Linked DNA regions of Drosophila melanogaster. The protein of the gene in region 1 interacts with the protein of each later gene in a pairwise test. Each region holds a gene or a part of one and is shown on either strand. Other genes may lie near its edges. The genes, in order: CASK and Nrx-1.

Region 1 (5,265 bases):
TTCTTTTTAATTGGCGTCTTGGGCTGGCAAACGGGCAGCCCTGGGGGCGTGCTACACGTGTGGCAGCGGCATAATTTTGAATAATTGAGCAGCTTAATTATAATTTATTCACACAGCGCTCTGGAGGAGTCAGGAATCGGTAGCCCGGGGCCAAATCGAACAAGGTCGTCTCATTGTGCCGTCAAAAATAAAAGCGGAGTGTATACATATATATATAGGTGTATTGTGTATATAATCCTCACCCGCTGTGCTCAGTCCAGGACTCGCTGTGAACTTGGCCACATCAACGATTTTGACGGCAAACTGCTGATTGGACTCCCTGTGTATGCATCGCCTTACGATGGAGAAAGGTCCTCTGTAAGAAACAATCCCGGATGGGGGGGGAATAAAGTAAATTCGGATTAAACTTCAATTGAAAGTTGATTGTGTCTAAATGGGAGCGAATAAAATTTTATCTTGCTTCGACAAAAGCAAAATATTTATATTTTCCGAGCGTCTAAAAGCAAACAAGATACTTGAGAAAGAGGAAATTTAATCAACTATGTATTCTCTTTGTAGTTACAAACGTGGGGTTTTAATACAAAAGCTTGCCATAACATTACTGATGATTATTTTACAAATAAATTTTAATTTTCTTACAAATTCCTATTCAATAACTCATTTAAAGTCAAGCAACGATTTCCTATCATCTTGTTTTATGAGCGTGATTAATTTTTATTGAACTATGTCACCAAGCTGAATTTGGAAAACTATTGCGATTCAAGGTCGTCATTTTGCTTATAGTTTATAGATTATAAATTGCAAAAAATTAAAAAACGTGCTATTTAGTGACTCACACTTCATTTTCAATAAACTTTAGAAGTGTGTTAATGGAACATTTTCAACATCAGTGAAAAATATTTTTCCAACGAAATTAAACAAAGTTCAACTTAATAACATTGACAGCTTTGTGAATGAACTTCTGGCTAAACTATGATGATCACAGCAAAAGTAACTAGCACAGAAAATGTTTGGTCATACATTTTTGAATAATGCAAAAGTTGGGCGTTTGGGAAAGTTTTTTATAGAGGGGAGCTGGCTTCGTCCCAGGCCAATAGTTGCATGATTTACGGCTTCTGGGTGGGTGGGATGGGCATACGGGGCGGATACATAATACATAATGAGATAATGGCCATGGATGCCAGCTGTCAGCAGCAGAATCGGCTAAAGATATAGCCGGTGGGGCGCTAACTTACTTGCCAATGACCTCGCACAGCTCGTAGACGTCGTCAAAGAGAATTTCGTCTTCGGTCATTTTGAATAATTGATGAATTGATGCCTCGACTCAATTGCTTTTTCGAATATTGATGAGTTGTGTCCTGTTTTTCGTGTCCGTCGCTTTTCCTTCTCCCGCTTCCTTTGCCCGTCGTCGCCTACTGCCCTCCAAAAACGAACATAAAAAATAAACAAAAAACTAAGCGGCCAGTGAGCAACTCCAAAACTTTGAGCGTTTTCCTTCGGTTTCTTCTGATGATTTGTTGTTAATGGTATTGTTATTGGTGTCGTTGATTCGTTGTTGCCGCTAATGCTGTTGCTGTTTTCGTAGCTGCTGATGTTAAGAATGCATTTTGCGCTGGAAAAATATAACAAGTGAAAATGGTGAAGGTGAGTTTTTCCATTAGTTGAAGGCCGCTAATCAGATTTATTTGGCGTCTAATTAAGAAACTGTCAAGAAGCTTTGCGAGAATTCTGTCAAGCAGATGACGCAAATATAAACAAATTTGTTTACATTTGTGAAAAATTATACACAGATTTTAATCAAGAAAATTTGCTAATAATTTCCTAAATATTTTGTAATCTTACTTACAAACTAAGTTAAGTTTATAATGCTATCTGAATCAATCAAATTGAAAATGCCACTATAAAGTTGGGCTGGCGTGTTGACACTTGTGTGATGGGAACACTTTTCGAGGGACCACTGTTAATGGTGTCGCAACGGAAATGAGACTGGCCTGGCCGAAACTTGTTTGATATGTCAATCACACTCATATCAGGTGTAAACCCCAATCAATTACAGGCGGCACACACCACAAATGCACAAAATGCTGTCGAAAGTGCCAATGGTAGGAAGGAAGTATCCCCGCACAGTGGGCGTTGTGAATTTTGCAACGGAAATGATGGCCAGCTGAAAAGGTAAACAAGCCAGCAGGACCTGCAGAATGTGTCCTTTTCGAGGGTCTCGTTCCAAGGATGTTCGCGGGGAAAGTTCGCAGGGGGGGAGGGTGGATGGGAGGCGCTACCTTTGTCTTGGCCATACTATTATTATGCCTTTTGGTCCAGCACTTGAACATACTTTTCAAAACTTTGATGGCACTCCAAAAATCCGAAAGGAGAAAGCCAGAGAGCGAGAGAGTGTGAAAGAGAGCGAAGGAGTGCGAGAAAGATGGCGAGCATGGATGTAAAGTGCGCCGGCGCCGTGGGAAATTCGTGTAAAGCACCAAAATTGTAATCGTAAAAAATATAAGCTATGCTTTCTGCCCGGGCTGCATGAATATTTAAATGTGCAACAATTTACGATGCACACACGAAATGTGGAGAACTGAGTTGCGACTGCGAGAGCAGGACGGAGCATTTGCGGGGAATCCCCGCGAAGGACTTTCTGGTAGTCATGTTTAATGCAGAGCTGCGCATGGGGCGCGGTGTTTTTGGCTCGGTTTTAGTATTCGGGCTCGAGGGTTTTACCTTGCTCGTGTGCCGCTGTTGTAAAATGCCTTGACACTTTCCACACGACCTTACCGCCCACCTCACTAACGCACCCACCCACACCCACATACACTCACTCACTGACTATGTGTGTGCATTTGGCCCTGCTTTTAGGACTTTTTGAGACTCTCGAGTGTCGCACAATTGGCAAATTGATTCTTTGTCTAAAGGATTTGCATTGCTCATGTTCCACGCCCCCTTATCAACGACACCGCCCCCTTTATCGGCCACACATAGAGGGGGCCACACTCACACCACACACACACACACACACACGAACACACACTGGCACGAACAATTCGCATATAGTTTTATGTACGAAAACCCACCGATTTGGCAGCGATTCTTCAACGGCCGCTGGTTTTTGGCATTTTAGCGAATCGCATTAGCACTCGATTGTCTAGGTGCGCAGCACGAATCGCCTGGCAAGCTGATTGCATTGGGTAATTTACTAATTTTAACTTAAAACAAACACGGCCCGTGAGGAATTGATTGGCGAAGAACTGGTTGCAACTGAACCGGTTCGCCGCGAACTAGAATTCCAGGGCTGCAGGTGCATTGCTGGATTGGTTCGGAACTTGGAGTCGGTTCACGGCTCTCCCATTGAAAATTGATACCAACCTGTGTTCATTAAAAATATTGTTTTTAAAATAAATTTAAGGGTGGTACTGCAGCAACTTACTTCGTTAATCAAAGTTTTAATTCAAGAAAGTTTGTTTGAATCAAGCAACTGGTTATACTGGAAAAATACCAGAAACCCGTTGGTATCTAAGCTTTTCTGTCATTTTGTTATTAACTTTATTTGGTCTGTTAAAATTTGCGCGGAAGTTTTTGAAAAAAAGTTTTGGGGACGAGAAAGTATAATTTTGGAATATTGTTAAGAATATAGTCATTCATAACGACACAGATGTTTTATCGAAATTGAAAATAAATACTATTAAAACTTTAATTTTGTTAAAGAAAAAGTAAATTATATTTTCCTGCTCCTTTCTCTTCGGTAGCATTTTGCATATGCTTTTATTTGCTTGACTTATCAGCAAAAGGCAGTTGTTTTCCTTTGATAAATACCCACTGCATGCTTAATAAATTTACTCGAAAGTAAGATAATTCATTGCACACTGAATTGTTTCCGCTTGAGTGAAGTCAAATGGAGGTAAATATTTATGCGGTACGCAAGCAAGTGCATAAAGCTATTGTGGAATATTGCACATACGAATTTCGAACACTTTCCAGTTTTATCGGCAATACGATGCCAATTACCATTCATCAACTTGAAAGTAAACATTTTCCCCTTCAAAAATGATTCACGATTTATTTAACTGGACTAAGCCACCAGTGTGTTAATACAGGGATTTTCACTACAGAACCTTTATCAACTTACTTTATCGCCAGGCTCGTTCACAGCTCATTGAATATTACCATATTATTTACATTACTTCTCTTTCGCGCCATTCAACTTTATCTATTATTATTATTATTACCCCACAGCATTTGATAAACCCATTAGAATAAATTAAGATCTTGGCATTAATATGCCAGGCACACACACAGGAGTCCCTCAACCGAAGACGAGGAAAACCCACACGCACTCCTCGAAAATAAAAAATAAAAACCGTAGGTGCGTAATCTTTAAATCAGTTGGAAGGGGCTGGTGACGGGGGCCAATACTCAAACATAAACATCATCAATTACAAAACCTCGAACAGCAACAACAACAACAATCACCGCCAAACGCCCAACGACAACAACACACAGATAAGATGCAAGAGAAACAACAAGCCAATAAGGGAGCAACAAACACAAAACCATCAGCCAAATGAAGAAAGACCTGATGAAAATGAACTCAATATGGCCATATTACTACGGGGGATATAGTCGAAAAGGATAAGCACCAACAACCATTTCGAGATGAGCAGCAAAAACAACAAGTGTTAATGATCAGCAATAACAACAGTGGTCACCCACTAATGTCCACCTTTCGATTGTAAAATAGCAGCCAATTAAATTATACGCACTATGAAATATTCAGAAATAATAAAAAAGTAATTAATTTTTTTTTTAATTTATACAACTTCTTTCATAATTTGTGAGATCAATCAAATAGTTTGGGTATAAACTAAAAAGTACACACCTTCCTCATTCTTAAGTGGTTTTACCTACTTGTATCAGCCAGCTAAAATATATAGAAAAGAAAAAAAAATTTTGTTTTTTTATTTAAAACGCGAATCTTGAAAAATATATATATATAAAAATATTATCCAATTACCACTGTACCCTAATAAAAAAAAAGCACAAAGCGGAGATATAATACACAACTCACGGTGAGAAGTCGTAGGTCGTTGCTTTGCATTTGTTTGCTGCGTTGGTTGACAATAAAAAAAAAAAACAAAAACACCAAAAGGAACACGGTAAGCAGAGCAGAAGGAAAAAATCGGAAAACAAAAATACTCGACTCGATAAAAGGAGAACAACAAAAGGGCAGGGAAAAAGGCTCAGCCACTCAGGTGAAATCAAAATCAAATT
Region 2 (5,033 bases), 650 kb from region 1:
TGGAGGCTCCGGATCCGAGGTCCAAATGGATGTAGATGTGCCCATTCAGCAGCTCAATGGCAATCAAAACGGGCTGATGGATTCAAATTATGCAAAATGGCTCAAGATAACCTAATGAGTAGACTCACGTTTTTGGCCCGTGGTTGCTTGGATCCTGTGGCCAGGACAATGATGCCATTCGGTTCTTTGGTGCGAAATTTGAAGCTTATAGAACTCTGCTTGCCAGTTTCCCAGGGAGGAAGGACCTTTAAAATAACAATCAAATATTAATTCATTACTTTTCGTATTTTCATACAGGTTTCAACTTACCAAATGCGATTCGCGAGTGGTGAAGGTCACGGGATCCTGTGGATCGCCACTGGGGCACTGATATTCCAGATTGCCAGCAACCTGGATCAGCTTGGAACCGCTCTTGGCCAGGTCTATGAGGTTCAGATTAAGCGTATCCGCTGAGAACTCCACCTTGCGCAGGCAGCCCACGAAGTTAGTGTGCACACGGGCACCCAAAAGCGCTCGAGGATTAACAGCACCACCAACGTAAACCCGCGAGGAGGAGAGCATGGTGAACTTGCCAGCAATGTGGGAGTGATCCGTATAGACATCATCCACCACGGTAACCAGCTACAGGGATAAAAAAAACTCCATTTCGAATAAAGAACCAAGAAAATCTATGAACAGTTACCCACCCGACAGAAGCTGGTTATGGAGGAGATCTCCTGAATGCGACGGTGCACGGTGACTTTGTGCCACTGGTGGTCGTCGAAGCGCACCTTTGAGGGCTTTATGTGCATCTCCTGCTTGCCATTAGCCAGACCCATGGTCAGGGAGACGCCTCCATCACGCAGCGCCAGATTTAGATAGTCCGTGCCGTGGCCAGTGTAGAAAAGCAGACCGTTCGGCTGGCGGGTGCGAAAATAGAAGGATATGGCATCCTGGGCGCTCACTATCGGCTCGGCGCCCGTCTGGCCCAAGTCGTAGGAGAGGAACTGTGTACCGCGGAACGTTGCTTCCGATGGCGCCTTCTCCTTCTCACAATACTGGCCATCGTACTCGAGGTTTCGACACTCGCAAATTGGACCGGAATCAGTGGATATGCAGATGCCGCCGTGCTGGCAAGGATCATTCCGTTCACAGGCATCGGTTGTGTTGCCACCCCGAACACCCTGCAGGATTAAAGGATTATTTACCAAATCAGGGATACATATAAATAGAGGCTTTTTTCTTATTATCAATATCATTTAAATAGAATATAAAAAGTTGTATTGTGTATATCAATGACTAATGGACTCACCCTGAGCGGCCTTTCACGGGCGGGCAGCTCTCCGTGATCGCAGGGCACATCGCCGCACTTGATGTCGCGCTGCTGCTTGATCTCCTGGCGCCTGGTGGAGCCGCCCGGCTGGTCCGCGTAGACCAGATTGCGGATGGCGCCACGGAAACGCGGTTCGAAGATAACGGATGGCAGGGCGAGCAGGGCCAGCTTGCTGCTGTACCAGTTGGGCATACCGCCCACATAGACGTCCGAGTTGCTCGCGAACTTGCCGAACTGGAACTCCTTCCCCTTGGTCGATCGCTGCTGGGAGACGCCGTCCACGATGAGCGATGTCTGCTCATCGTTCCGCAGGACCTGCACCTTGTGCCAGTGGCCGTCGTGCAGTTCCCGACCCACGGTGATGATTTGAGCTCCGCCACCAAGGTTATATCTCAGCCGCAGTGCTCCTTCCACCAGCTTCAGTTCGAAGAAGTCGTAGGTGCCGCCGTCGTCGGTGTAGAGAACCAATCCGTTGGGCTGTTCCGTTTTGAACTCCAGTTCGAGGGTCCCATTCAGTCCGGTGTACCACTTGCGGAAGGTGTAGAAGGAGTTTTGCGATCCATCTAGCTGGAATCCGGCGCTGAGCGTCACGAAACTGGCCGCCAGACTGACCAGCAGGGCGCTGACGATGAGCACGCGGTAGGAGCGACGGTATTCCACGACCACGGGAGGCACTTGCTCGCTTCTCCGCCGGCGGCGAGCCTTGTTGAACCGCAAGTCGGGGGATTCAAAGGCGGAGGTGGAGGTGCGCTGGGCGGGCAGGAGCCTCAGCTCCGCCTGATTTCGATTTCGCTGCTGATCCATGTCCATGCTTGGCCGTGTCCTGGCTGTCATGGCCGCATCAGCATAGTTATCCTGATATGTTGCACTATGTGGCGCCTTCATTCACACGCACGGTGGCACTCGGGCTTACCCACACAGAGGCACCTACGCACGTTGCGCGCGTAAACGTAAAGTGTCCTTCTCCCTCTCTCTCTCTCTCACTCGCTGTGTTTCTGTCGCGTATTCCAGTCCTTGAGCGCGAGCTTTTCGCGTGTCCTTGTGTTGGTGTTACTCGGCAATCCGTTTTATCCGCGCCTGCCAAGAGAGAGCGTAAGAGCGCGCGAGAGCGAAAGCTCGGCCACGCGAAGTTGGCTGCGGATGTTAACGGTACACGTCGACTGTTAACGGCACTGCACCGATTATTGCTTATGATTTCGCCTGATTTTTTTGGTCCTTAATGTTCAGCACCTTCAGTTTTCGGCATTTTGTATACTTGATTTGCATAATTTTTGGCAATTAAATTCAAAACGGCGCATATTTTGCATCGATACTTTGTCAGACAACCGTTTCTCCGACCGAGTCGGCTGTATTAGTAATACTGGGGGTTATGGTTGGGCCAAAAGCTCGCCGGATACCCCTGCCACCGCAGTTTGTGGCGCCCACGAGCGCTCCATCGTACATGTACATACTAAAAATCGGAAAAAATTTTCACTGCATATCGCAAATGTAGGCGAAAATTTTTCTAAGCACCTCACAGCAAGTGCCCCTAAAATGGGCGCTTTACTGCGGTTGATTCCACAGCAATCAGTTATTTATGCGTATTGATTGAACTATTGATTGGATACGAAATTAGTTGCAGAGACTGCACACAGATTTTTCAATTACACAATTATTCCTTTGAATTTGCACGATATTCTTGTCGCTCCTGCTTTATGTAACTTTTCGGGCTGGATTTTAGCGCGACGCGTCCTTTTCGTTTTTGTTGGTTGGTTGAATTTATTTTTGCAGATTTTTCGGTTCAATTTCGAGGGATACAAAAATGTTGTGTGTCGAAATTTGCTTAGCAGCGCCTTCCGCTGCTTTTAGCTCCGATATCGATCCGCGCTGCATCCACGACAAGACTGAACTGCAATTTCAAACTTAATTTCTTCGCACTGTTTCCAATGGATAACGAAAGCTCCGCCAGCTTATTCACAAAAAGCCACTGGTGCGGTCTAGGCGACTCGAAAATGGCACTACAATCGAACTGGACAAAGGAGTTTGTACCTCACACTACTGATTTTACATTTAGACAAGTTAAAATCGTTCAGAATTACTGGAAATCTTGAATTTAATGGTTTATATTGGTACTTTGTTGATTTACCCGAAAAAGTGTGCTACGGAAAAGGAAAGCACCGCACGCTTTGAGTGTAGTGTGTGGGAATGCCAAAAATTAAAAGCTCGCTTACTTCGCACGAGGCATGCATATGTGTACTACTAACACACAAACGCACACATAGACACCAGCTGCCCACTCACACATGCGTAATAAGCGAATAGCACGCAGGTTCATAACCTGCACCACTAAAGCGTATTAGATGCCACATTCACATGGATACACACATATGCATGTTCAGCTGTGTGCGTGGGTGTCCTGTGGCCGCACGCACACTCACACACACCAACTCAAGCTGACACCCCCCCGGGCTCACTATCTCCGAGACGACCCGTGTAAATTCCTTGACATTTACTACGCAACTTCGACATCTCGGAGTCGAATTCGATTTGCATTTGCATTGGCAGTGGAATGTGATGTCCCTTACTCTCGATTGTGGGTGTATGTCCTGCCTCTGTCAAATCCCATCACCCTGCTCCTTCGTCCTAGGAGAGCAATTGCAAGGCCGTCGCCTCCATTAATCGTCGTCGCAGTCCAGGCGAACACATTAATTTGAGCACACGAATCACGCACTGACCATTACAGCAGGGACCAGGATCCTGCTATTAAGCACTTACGGTTTTTAATAATATTTTAACGCACGCTAAAGGCTAAACAAATGCCAGCACGTGCTGTCCATTGTCCTTCGGAGTCGTGACGTTCAAGTGGACTAACAAGGACTAAGATTGGGAATGCCAAAAGCTGGGGGAAGAGCGAAAAGCTTAAAATCAAACTGAGCGGCAGCTCTTGAACTTTCAAGGGCTTTTAAACTACCATTATTTTAAAATCTGTGGAGAGTTCGGCATTGTCAAGTAATATTCTTCAAAATGAATGGAAAAATCTTTTAAATTTCAGGAACATTCTTAAAAATGCAAGTGCATCACCCAATGCCTAAATATCAATATGAAAATATTTTTCAAATTATTAAAAAATTAACGATTCTTTTAAAATTAGTTTTTTGGTATATTTACTTTTGATTTAACGGTATATGGCATCATCGCACCTACAGCCACACTAATTCGATCGTTTACTTACAGCTGTTCTTATCAATCAGCTGTTATCAACGGATCTTTATCAAGTGCACTTTACAAGGCGTCGTGTGTAAAGATTAGAATTTGCCAAATATTCCTCTCTGGACATCTGAAGAGCCCTTGAGAAGCAGCTAAGTTTGTTGCCATACTCCAAAATCCCCGTTAGATCCCGCTTACGTAATGCTGGGCAATCTGTGCCGGCTTGTGGGTGCCCGTTCCCCGATCACCAGGCGCTTGCTGCACACGGAGCGGAAAGTTCGTGTGAATGGCTCAGATTTGAACATTGTGGAGAGCGGCAGTGGGGAGCGGAGTCTACTCCTGATGCCGGGAGCACTGGGTTCCTCGTGGACCGACTTTAGGCCCCAGATCGAGCAGCTGCCGAAACTGCTGCCGGGTCACACCATCATCGCCTGGGATCCGCCGGGTTATGGCAAATCAGTGCCGCCGCAGCGCAAGTTCGGCCTTGAATTCTTTCGGGAGGATGCCCAGGCAGCCGTGGATTTGATGCGTGCCC

Evidence for each region.
Region 2: the proteins of CASK (region 1) and Nrx-1 interact in a two-hybrid assay, tested with the Drosophila melanogaster proteins (one study listed by BioGRID).

What each region holds. Positions count from the first base shown.
Region 1 is NT_033777.3:21,819,412-21,824,676, forward strand, and holds the start of CASK (CASK), read right to left. Parts: upstream 3,264-5,265; 5' UTR 3,072-3,263; intron 1,613-3,071; 5' UTR 1,295-1,612; coding exon 1,236-1,294; intron 356-1,235; coding exon 243-355; intron 1-242.
Region 2 is NT_033777.3:22,467,649-22,472,681, reverse strand, and holds the start of Nrx-1 (neurexin 1), read right to left. Parts: upstream 3,205-5,033; 5' UTR 2,198-3,204; coding exon 1,292-2,197; intron 1,164-1,291; coding exon 687-1,163; intron 622-686; coding exon 310-621; intron 246-309; coding exon 129-245; intron 74-128; coding exon 1-73. Other genes in the region: CG5377 (uncharacterized protein), read left to right, coding at 4,700-5,033. UniProt on the Drosophila melanogaster protein: Neuronal cell adhesion protein involved in synapse formation, development of synaptic active zones, synaptic regulation and visual function. Plays a role in cell adhesion between the pre- and the postsynaptic cell.